Linked DNA regions of Schizosaccharomyces pombe. The gene in region 3 interacts genetically with the main gene of each other region. Each region holds a gene or a part of one and is shown on either strand. Other genes may lie near its edges. The genes, in order: dnt1, clp1 and cdc14.

Region 1 (3,836 bases), 1.4 Mb from region 3:
AACAACGCTATTACAGAATTCTTTTGCTATTGGACTTATGATGAAAAAAAAAAAAAAAACGAGCGTAAAGGGAGTTAATCAAAAACAAGAAATTTACACTAGGGCCGCCAAGCCAGCCAAAGCACTGTTTCTTTTGGCTTTCCTCTTTTTCTTTGTATTTAGTACAGTACTTGCTCTTTTCTCAACGGGAATAGGATTGGATCTATCTTCCTTCTCCGAATTGTCGCTTTCATCTGAAGAACTCCCTGACTCTTCACTTTCAGAAGATTCATCAGAACGCCCTTCTTCTTTTGATTCCTGCATACTGACCGCGGTCTTCTTCGTAAGAGAAGGTTCTCTAATTTCAGGAGAAAACGTTTTAGACAATTCTGAAAGACGTGAGTAAGACAATGTCCTATGAGTCTCCGGTCTTTCCGTAGAAGGCTTAGCTTTAGGTTCCTTCGGGGATCCTTTGGTTCCTCTATTCTGTATCTCGTGAGATACAGAATTTCGTTGTTGTGATTTCTTCTGTAGTTGACTTAAAGGAACAGAGGAGTCCGAGTCTGAATCCGAATCTGAATCATTTTCAGAACCAATCTCATCAGAAGGTTCATTTCCCGCTGCAGATATCGTCGATGTAGTAACAAGGGTCTGGGAAGGAGGGGGAAATTTGCTTTTACCATTCTCACTTTCTTTATCATGCTTAGCTGAAACGTTATCATTAACCAGAGATTTATTCGGGCTATCAACCTTCGTTAAATCATCACTAGTATCTGAATTTTCGGACGGGGAAGAAGATATAGAGGTCGTAGAGGATTCAGAAAGGGTATCGTTCTCCGATTCGGTGGTATCGTTTTCGGAAGGAACGGCAGTGGATGGATGAGATGAAGTTTCTCTAACTATTATTGCAGGAGCTCTAATTTCATGCTTTGCCTCCGTTTCTTTTTCATCGGATACATCTGATGAACTGTCATCATTGACTGAATCTTCATTTGGGCTTTCAACAGAAACTTCTCGAGTAGAAGAACGCAATGATTTATCATCAATTCCATCAATGGTTTCACTTTCTTTAATTAATGCGGCAGGAGAATGTTCGACTAAATATTTTCTATCATTATCTTTCATGCGAAGACGGGAAGGCGATGATAAAGTTCGCAAGGGAGCATCTGACGATGAATCAGAAGACGCATCGTTAATTGAAAAAAAGTTAGCTCGATTATAAGTTGTTGGTTGACTTGGTGTTAAGGAACTATTGAAGGATTGGTGATTATCATCTTCCTCCTGAGTAACTGATAAATTAACTATACCGTCAGCCTTTCTATCTTTATCTGGACTTTCAATTTCTTTTAAAGCAATCCCTTCGGTTAATGTACTTTCATTATCATGATTTGAAGAAATTGAGTATGCTCGATCGCGAATACTAGTTGGTCTGTATACAAATCCAGGAGAGTTCGCATCAATTGCCTCTACAAAATTTTTTTTTGGTAGTTTTCGAGGGTTTTCACTCTCATCCGGATGCGTACGCTTCCCATTGATTGCATGAACACCATTAGATGCACTTTGGACAGTAGCGAAATCATTTTCAACGCCATCTAAATCATGTTGAATATTTTTTTCTTTGAAGTTTATCATAGTCCCATCTAATTTCTTCAACGGAGAAGAGAATGATTCGACAATGACCTTGGAATTAGTGGGAAAGATTTCACCGACTAAGTACTCATTAGGAATGTCGTAGCTTTCTTCATTTTTTATATTTCTTATGTTTATATTTCTATAATAATTTTCGTTAATAGTAGAAAGATGGAGCATGCTGCTATGCTTACGATTCAAAAGGATAAAGTGATTTGTAAGTTTCCTGCACTTTTTCTTTTAATAAAGAAATTGAAGAAGATGGGTCAAACAGAATCATAAATTGATTATCTTGTTCACCATCTTTGATTATATGAAGCCTTAATGTAGTTCTCATTTCGAATATTCAGCAAATTTCTTTATTTGATTCTTACGGAGAAGTGGATCCGGCAAACTAGTTATAATGGAATTAATCAGTATTAAAAAGACGTTAAAACAAAGTAAGTTATTTAAAATGGAATGCCCATTTCTTGACACCAATGGGTATCCAAAGTTGGTTGCTCTAAGGAAGTGCGTAAAGTTCTATTCGCAATTTACTCGGCATGACAGCAGGAAGGGTGGGACAGCAGTGATGAACAAGTTAAAGGTGTAAAATAATGCTAAATGTCAAGAAATAAAAACTCATTACTCATTCCTACGACTCGAGCATATTGACACGTATCTTAAGGTTTTATGGTCCTTCCAAATCTAACGAAACATATTGGCTTAATATATCTTCCTTTCAATTGCGTGAATTAACATTTGAATACAAGTAAATAAACTATCATAGATTAAAAGAACGACAGATGTATTAGTCAGAATTAAAGAATATTCAACAGAAAAGTAGTTTGACGTCTCAGAATAATTTCTATAGGTTGTAAATTAGCTTAAAGCAATTAATTGGCAGAAAAATTAAATGATAGGAGTTATCTATTAGTAAATTGTTAATTCTCCATATGTAAATCCGGATCGAGGAACATTATTGTTTGACCATTGTTTGTAGTTAAAAGAACACCAAGGTCTGTATATTCCTGTATTGTATTTATTAAATGATCTTCAGTAAAACCCTTAGCAAGTACGCGTTCACGAATAGCACGTAGTGTAAGTGAGCGTTCATTGCCTTCAACATCTGGTATGCTATTAAGCATGTCTCGAATAATTTTATATATTTTCGAGGTAATAGTAGTATCGTGAGAACTAGGATCCAAATCATCGTATAGTGATGACTTTGAAACAGACATTAATCTCAAAGCTTCATCAACATCGCCAATCTCCACTCTATTACTGAAACGCAAACGAGCTAATGCTTGTCCCATTCGCAAAATAGCGAGAAGTGTACGTGGAGTAGTGTGAGCGAATTGACGCTCATTGGCTTCATCACGCTTTTGGTTTTGTCGAAGTTGAACATAAGCACCAGTAACATAGTCGCATACATCCTTTGGTACGACTGGGCGATATTGTCTAGCAGAAGAAATATAATGCCTAATCATGTTTGGATCTAATGGTTCAAAGTCCATTTTAGGTTGTTCGTTATGCATGTGAACATATGTTACGTGTTGTGCCAAATGCTCGTCTGTTTCACGAGAAGGAGTATCTAAAATTAAAAATAAAATATCAAACCGGGAAAGCAGTGCAGCTGGAAGATTTATATTGTGGATTGGTGCCACTTTCGGATTATATCGTCCATATAAGGGGTTCGCAGCGGCCAAAATACTTGTTCGAGCATTTAAAGTCGTAGTGATTCCTGCCTTTGAAATTGAAATAGTTTGCTGTTCCATTACTTCATGAATTGCTGTACGGTCACTTTCATCCATCTTATCAAATTCGTCAATGCAGCAAATACCGTTGTCAGCAAGTACTAAGGCACCTCCCTCTAAAACCATTTCATCCGTCACTGGATCACGCATTACAGCAGCAGTTAAACCAACACCTGAAGATCCACGACCTGTGGTGTATACTCCTCTCGGGGCAACCTTCGAAATATACTTTAATAATTGAGATTTTGCGACACCAGGATCACCAGTTAAACAAATATTTATGTCACCACGAATTCTCATTCCATCCCCTAACTCTTTAGTAACACCTCCGACAAGCAACAGAAGTAAAGCTTTTTTAACATCTTCATGTCCATATATCTCGGGAGCAATGGACTTGGCCAGTTTTTCGTACACATTGCCTCCTTGATTTAATTCAGCGATAGCAGCCTCCGATTGAGGAGTTTTTTCAATATTTGTGTAATTTTTAATGAT
Region 2 (3,600 bases), on a different chromosome or scaffold from region 3:
CTTTTTATATCATAACCAAAACAATTTCTCGATTAAAATCATTAACCATGGCTTGCAAAAAGCCAAAGTTTTTTCCAAAGAAATATGAATGTTAGTTAACAAAAAGGATAGCTAAGACATTAATGGTGGTGATCCCCACCGCGCAAAGGTGCGCTAAATCAGGGAATATTTGTAAAGTTAATTAATGAAAAATTATGCAGGGTTGACACAGTATAATTCAAAGTTAGTTTATATGAAAAAAAGGAATGTAAAAACTGCCATTTAAACCAGTAATTACAGGTTTATTAAGAAATTAGCCGGCTTTTAGAAGGCTTAGGTTTAGCAACACGGCCATTAGAAGTATTGTTAAGTGATGACATGCTAACACTTCGCTGAGCACTTTTTTTAGAATGACTAGACCCACTAGACCACCTATTTCCACTTGTACGTCGAATTGGACTACCAGTTGGTGAGGATGTCGGAGAACGAACTCCATTTGGTTCGATATTGCTTTGACTTGATGAGCGACGCAAGCGAACCACTGAAATTGTTTCAGTTGGAGTTCCAACAGTCCGTGTTTCATCATCATTTTGTATTTCTGAATCTTCGTAACTACTGTATGACGCTTTGTTCTCATTTTGGATTGATTGCTTGGAAGCATTTTTAAGTTTCTCATTAAATTTGACAGAGGACGCTGAAGGGAGACGTCTCGCCGACGGTGGATTATGTCCAGAAACTTTTCTCGGTTGGCCAGGCGTTGGTTCTGGAAGAGGAGTACTGATATTGCTTTGAGAGGTACCATTCGTAGCATTCAATGGATGGCGAGGAGGAGTAGCTAAGGGTTCCGCAGCGGTGGCCTGTTGGATTGCTCTTCCCATCGCCTTTTCGTAAAAATATGCACGGAAATGAACTTGATTAATATGTAACCAATGCTGTTGTGGACCTACAACCATTCCAGGACGCATTATTCTCATGTAAGCAATAACTTCATTAGCAGTAAAACAATGTTTGTATATTAAATATGCGCCAATTAAGCATCCAGTACGTCCGAGCCCTGCTTTGCAATGAACAGCAATCACACCGTCTTCTTCTACTTCCTCGGTAAGGTCAATAAACTCTTTGACAAGAGAAAGCTCTGGAACTGTGCCATCCTCAAAATACATCTCTTTATGTCGAATTCCAACATTTTCAAAAGTCTTTTTATCGTAAAGAGGTCCATTAAGCCTAACTATCAGTTTGACCTTATTAGCGACGAAATAATCGAGAACTATCGCAAACGGTTGAGGAAGTTTCTTTGGACGTGTGCTCGCATGATTCCAACCAGCCTGAATAGGACTTGCAAATGCTATAAACTTAGGAGATATCCAATTAAAATCTCCATTCTCCACTCTTTCATAAGTTTCATAGTCATGAACATCGATATTACGTATATTTAGTATGCTGCTCTCTCGTGCTCTCCACAGTCCGTAAACACAATCTTGAATCGTGATATAGTAATCTGAAACAGCATATCCCGCATCTCTAAACCCCAAAAAAGGAGGTTCTGCCTGAGCTAAAGGGGCTAATGCGAGATGTGGAGGCCAGTTTTGTACTAACACCATGTAGCAAGCTAACAAACAAGCGGCATTTGCACGCAACCTTGTATCTGTAGAAGAATATAAAACTATAGCCTTGCTTTTCTTAGCTTGTCTGTGTTTTCCCATGATACCATGAACTATCACTGCAAATCTAATAAGATGACTCACGTTCAGCGGACCAAAGTCATGATAAAAAGGGTTGTAGATCAATTCATCATCGATAGTAAAAAAATGCATATGAGGATATAACTCGGCTTTAGGTGGTTGCGACAATGATGTGTAGTATAACTTGTCTATTTAACATGTTAATCAATTTTACGAGATATTTGAGTTAAACTTCATGCATACCCTCCAAAAACTCAATCATTTCACCAAGCCCATCATCTTGGTAATCCATCAGACAAGTAATTGCGAATCTCGTCTATATTCGTCAAACCCGTAATGGTTGAGTTCTAAATTGTGTACCTGGGTGTTGGTGGTCCTTGTAAATAGAAGGGATGATAATGCACAAGAAAATATGTGGGGTGCGAAACAAATGAAGACAAAAGTGGATTCTAAACTATACACAACGTTATGTTGACATTTAATCTTTTCTCTTTATTAAAAAAAAAAAGACATTAACTTTTAGCAACACTATAGTAAATAAACAACAATAATCATTATCTTACAAAGTAAGTAAAAATGCACATCAATTTATGATAAACATACAGAATACTTTTTGCTCATACAAATACAACCCAACTTTTTTATCTGAAATTCGATTTGTTTTAGCAAATATATTTAAATCCGATAACAAAATCCGGATAGATAACCATATAATTGCCGGACCTTTAAAGCTACCCTAATCTATCATTTATGGATAGCACTGGAAAGCATAATATTTGTAAACATTATAATGGTAAGAACGACGTTGGGTGAAATTTAAGTTAGTTGTAAACTGGTTCTAACACGCCGCCTCTGAATACTAAATAGCAACCTAAACGAATAATAAAACTTTTTTGCGCAACTAGTTAGAAATAAACACAGGCTAAATCCGTAATGAAACGATCAGCGTAAACGAAATTTGAGGAAAAATCAGTTGATATTTCATCGCTGTTACAGCGATATACCATTCTCATATAAGTTGGTAAATGATACGATATTATTGCTAACAAAGTTTTGGAGGTATAGTGATTAGTTTGCTCGCAAACCAGTCTAAACCCATAAAATACTAGGGCATAAGAAAGAATGATAAAACACTAGATTAAAAAGGAAATTTTTTGAAACCTTAAAACCGACCATTAAGCAAAACTTCTTTTCGCTTACTATCAAGCAAACAGACATGATATACCAAAAGTTAAATCCCAGGATAAATACCAAATTTTAATAGTATATAATAATCTACATTAAATGGCTAAGCATCTTTTAGATATTGAACAATTAAACTTCAAGAGCAGGTACTTCTTTTATAATTTCCTCGTAGCTTTCCTTGTACTCCTCAACTTTAGACATGTCCTTCTTTTTTCCACCGGGAACAATCATAACACAGCTAGTAGGTCTCTTGGTGTTTGATGCTTCACCAAGCAACTCTTTGGAAACAGTATATAAGTAAGGGACATTATTGTCTTCACATAATACTGGAATATGAGATATAACATCCATGGGAGAAATATCACCAGCAAGAATTACAAGACCCTTCTCTCCTTTTCTAACAGCCTTTACAACCTCTTTGACCCCACGAAGGATGTGTTTCTGCTTCGAAGCCTTCTTGACAGTCTTCATCATTTTTTTGTTCAATTTTTTAGGAGCTAAAGGCTTAGCAATTGGCATTAAAGCAGGAAGATATGAATCATACTCATCTTCGGTGCTTCCACTATGCTTATGGTCTTTTTTATCTTTTGCCATGATAAAGAAATGGAGAAGGATAAGTTTGGAAGCCCAAAAGATGATCCCAATAAAACTTTTTTCAGTAACGCTATGTAGCGGATAATAGTCTGTTAAGCCATCTGTATAATACGTAATTTTAAGATACCAGCTTTGGTAATATTCCTTAAATTGACATAAT
Region 3 (3,836 bases):
CACGACTTTATACAAACTCAAGTACAAACCCCGATGTTTTATACATGTCTAGTCAACATCCACATACTCAGCAACGATATTCTACCCTTAAGCGATTAATGGTTCGCTGCTTGAGCTGTGAATATTCAACACTATCTGAAGCTTCCGATTCTATGTCAAATCCTTTGTTCTTTGGAGACCAAGATAACGGTTACGTTATTAGTCAGTCTTTTTCTTTAAGAGATCCCTCTGCCCGGGGAGGACTTCGAAGATATGCGATTATTGCTACTTGTCCAAATCAGTTAGATTTGATTTTGCGATATAGTTTTATTTCTGAAAAGTTTCTTCATATAGTCCAGTTTCTAAGGATTTCTTCTTTCAATACAAAGAATGACTACTCCTCCTCCCGTTCAAAAACAACAGCCTCCTCTAGCAATGGAACGTTTGCATCCCCCAGTTTTAACATTTCTTCGTTATCGGGTTCTTCAAATATAGGAACTGCTCCTTCGTATGAGATATCCTCTAGTATCGGTGCAAATGTGTCATCTTTGGCCCACACACAAAGACTTCCTTCTTTCAGTTTTTTGCGTCGTCGAGACGATATTGGGGAGGGACGCAGTTTAGTTGATATCACATGTTGGGACGGAATCTTTGTCGGTCTTCACAGTTCGTTTAGCTGGATTCTGGAGGTTTGGGATCTCTTAGTAGTATGAAAGTAAAACTGGTTGACTTTTTACAAATGCTATAGGATGCTGGAATACTTTCAATAGTAAGATGATCGATTAATAATTTAACATTAACATTAGAAATTCTTTAGTAAATGAATACTAAATTTTCAAAAATAAGTTAACAATGAGACTTTAAACATTTTTTTGCACCAGGCATTGCATCTAACTAGTCGAATGTTTCGTCTAACTTGCCAAATGGTTGAAACTTATCTAAATCATCTCGAAGCCCTTGTACGTTAGAAAGATATTTGGATAGGTAAGCTTGTTTCTCAGTCCGCGTTTTCCTGTAGGCAATGACATCTATAGAATATGGTTCAGGGGATAAATAGAAATAGAAAAATTCGAGAATTTGAAATCGGGTGTCCTGACTTGTTTGTTTGTGCTTAAAAACTACGCATATCTGCTGCAAGCCATTAATCTGCTCAAAAAGCCTAATAGCCAGTGGACGATCTGCCATGATACATACAAGCGTTTTCATTGCAGCCACTTGCAACATAGATGGCTGAGATGGCTGTAATAAATGAATAAATAACCTTAAGGTAGCTTTATCTTCAAATAACGTCTGTGATTTTGGATGGATTAAAACCAATCCTTCAATCACATGCAGTAAGTCATCAATTAGCTTTTGAATGAATTGAAAGTTTTTTTCGTATGCCTCTTCATTCTGCTGATATTCAAGGAGACTGTCCAAAGCGTAAATGCAAGGGGTAGTAGAATTATACAATGGTGAATCCTGTAATTTTAGGAAAATTTCTCTTGGAATTTTATCATCATGACTAGGTTTCGCAACATGATATACAATAGATTCGACTTGACGCAAACCAATTCGAATTAGCTTTGGATTCCTCATACACAAATGCTGTTTAGCATTGTTTAATAGATCTTCCATACCGGATCATTATTTACTCATGCCAAGCGGGCAATAAAAATCCTTATTATAAATAAAAGTAAATTGAATCTTCGTTTAGTTAAAGATAAAAAAGAGACTCTATATTCGTTCTTAGTAATGATATAAATAGTAGGGTGGAGTGTTGAAGCAGCTACATTAAATTGCTATTTTCTAAAACTTGAGGTTTTGGGAGAGAAAACACCAGCTTGCTAAGATAGGATACAATTGAATATTAACAGGCGAATTGGAGCCATATTTGAAAAAGGGGCCTAAAATAACAAAACAAGCAACATCGAGTCCTTATAGATTTATATTTAGTTTACGATCAAATCCGCCTAATTTAATTATATTAATATCAATGGGTTTAGTTTGTCTCAAACGGTTGACATGAAAAAATTTAGATATTAAATTAAACAATAGTTATGTATTAATCGTAAAATTATCAAATAACAAAAACTGCAGTTAATTTTGAGCTATTTAAAACAATATAAGATTACACGAAGCTTCGAAGAAGCTATGAAATAAAACAATTAGAATGCACTAATTAACAGTTTCGATGGAGAAATAACACATGAAGTGCATACAAAATGCAAGGAAATTAACTAGAGACACCATTCACGGAAAAGTATAGAGGCTTTTCCTAGAGTGCGAATGAAAGTAGAGAAATGAGACAGAAAAGATTATGAAGATAGTTAAGGAAAAATTCATCTAAAACATAAGTGACTGTAGATTGTTGGACATAATCGTATCTTGAACGGATACCATTACCCTTTGGAGCAAACTAGTGTCTGTAGCTGTGGTAAAATGGCAATAGCAACTACGAGAAGCGATGCGATTAAGACTTTCAAACTTTAAGTAAAAGTAATACATACCGCTTCGAACTGCGTTGTCGGCAAGAGGGCATTGAGTTTGTACGAATGTTGGTGTTGAACCAACTTCTTGGTAATCAGGAAAATGCTTCTGGATGGGGGAAATGTGAACCTTTCTTTTAAATAAATCAAGTTTATTTAGAAAAAGTATCATTGCTGATTCTGAAAACCAGCTAGAGTTACATATGGAATCCCATAATAATAACGCCTCCTGCATCTGATTTCCTGAATTGTCCTCTACAAGGCATTGATCGTAACCTGCCAAAGAAACGAGAAACAACAATGCAGTGACATTTTCAAAGCAATGAATCCATTTTCTGCGCTCTGATCTCTGTCCTCCTACATCAAAAAATCGGTAATGATGACGATTTAACAGAAATGTTTCTTCTGATATACCGGTCGTCTTGATACGACAGTGAAGGATATCTTGATCAGAAGGTATATATTGTGGGTCAAAAATTCGATCAATGTGATCTTGATAGTAATAAAAATTGTCTAACAAAGAGAGGTTGGTACCACAACTTTGCACCGTACGAAGTTTGGTATCCAATGTCAAGGCATGAACAGCTTCATATATTTCTGGAGAAAATGGCTCATTGGGTTGAGAAGTGTGTTTTCTTAGGATAACTGCCCGATACTTCTCATTTTCCGGAAGTAAAGAGACATTACTATTATCCATAGCTTCAAGAAGAAGACATAGAGAGGAGATGATATTTTCAAAAATCATCACTCGATACTGCTTTCTAACTACTTGACTAAAACCGGGGCTATACAATAATCTCATCTGCTTCATAATGGTCGTTTTCCCACTATCACCGGCGCCTAAGAGCAAAACTTTAATGTCATTTCCACCTGAAGTAGAATTTCCTTTTACGCGTACTCCAGAACTTTCCACATTTTGTGGTTTTCCACGCAGGACGATATTAAGCCAGTTTTCAAGGACTGGAACTCGAGCGTTTTGACTTCCAGTTGTAGAGCTGTTTGAGGTTTGCGTATCTGAAAGCTTCTTTTGAATGACTTCTCCTCCTGATGTATCAGCGTATTTACTCGACATGCATCCCATGGTGAAAAGGCAGCTACAGATTCCAAATCCCCACAAGGAGATAATTCAAAGTCGAGACAAAGAAAGTTAATCTCCGCAATTTTCTGTAAAAACAGCAGAAAAGGTGATAAATAAGGATTTTTGGATTAAAAAAGAAATAATAGATGTCGTTAAATCTCAAATATTTGTGAAGTGGACCCAACTATAAGCAAAAAACCCAATTGCCAGATAATTCCAAGAGATCCAAAAGAATACTATTATATAGTAAAAAGAAACTATTATTTAAACAATTTGGTTAAAAAAACCAGGAGGATTCTTTGAGAAAAATC

Evidence for each region.
Region 1: of cdc14 (region 3) and dnt1, a mutation in one rescues a mutant of the other (synthetic rescue), as found in Schizosaccharomyces pombe (2 studies listed by BioGRID).
Region 2: mutations in cdc14 (region 3) and clp1 are lethal when combined (synthetic lethality), as found in Schizosaccharomyces pombe (2 studies listed by BioGRID, with this or other methods).

The regions. Positions count from the first base shown.
Region 1 is NC_003423.3:3,715,107-3,718,942, forward strand, and holds the start of dnt1 (nucleolar protein Dnt1), read right to left. Parts: upstream 2,113-3,836; 5' UTR 1,946-2,112; coding exon 1,803-1,945; exon of another isoform or gene 1,751-1,802; coding exon 94-1,750; 3' UTR 1-93. Other genes in the region: MCM complex subunit Mcm7, read right to left, coding at 2,532-3,836. UniProt on the Schizosaccharomyces pombe protein: Negatively regulates the septation initiation network (SIN) pathway, independently of the cdc14 phosphatase clp1. May also have a role in silencing rDNA transcription. Required for maintaining the exclusive nucleolus localization of nuc1.
Region 2 is NC_003424.3:4,769,707-4,773,306, forward strand, and holds clp1 (Cdc14 family protein phosphatase Clp1), read right to left. Parts: upstream 2,011-3,600; 5' UTR 1,954-2,010; coding exon 1,905-1,953; exon of another isoform or gene 1,850-1,904; coding exon 285-1,849; downstream 1-284. Other genes in the region: box H/ACA snoRNP complex subunit Nhp2, read right to left, coding at 2,976-3,440. UniProt on the Schizosaccharomyces pombe protein: Protein phosphatase which antagonizes mitotic cyclin-dependent kinase cdc2, the inactivation of which is essential for exit from mitosis. To access its substrates, is released from nucleolar sequestration during mitosis.
Region 3 is NC_003423.3:2,330,030-2,333,865, reverse strand, and holds the start of cdc14 (SIN component Cdc14), read right to left. Parts: upstream 1,741-3,836; 5' UTR 1,597-1,740; coding exon 874-1,596; 3' UTR 693-873; coding exon of another isoform or gene 1-692. Other genes in the region: folliculin bhd1, read left to right, coding at 1-692; gpa1 (G-protein alpha subunit), read right to left, coding at 2,305-3,528. UniProt on the Schizosaccharomyces pombe protein: Has a role in the septation initiation network (SIN) required for cytokinesis.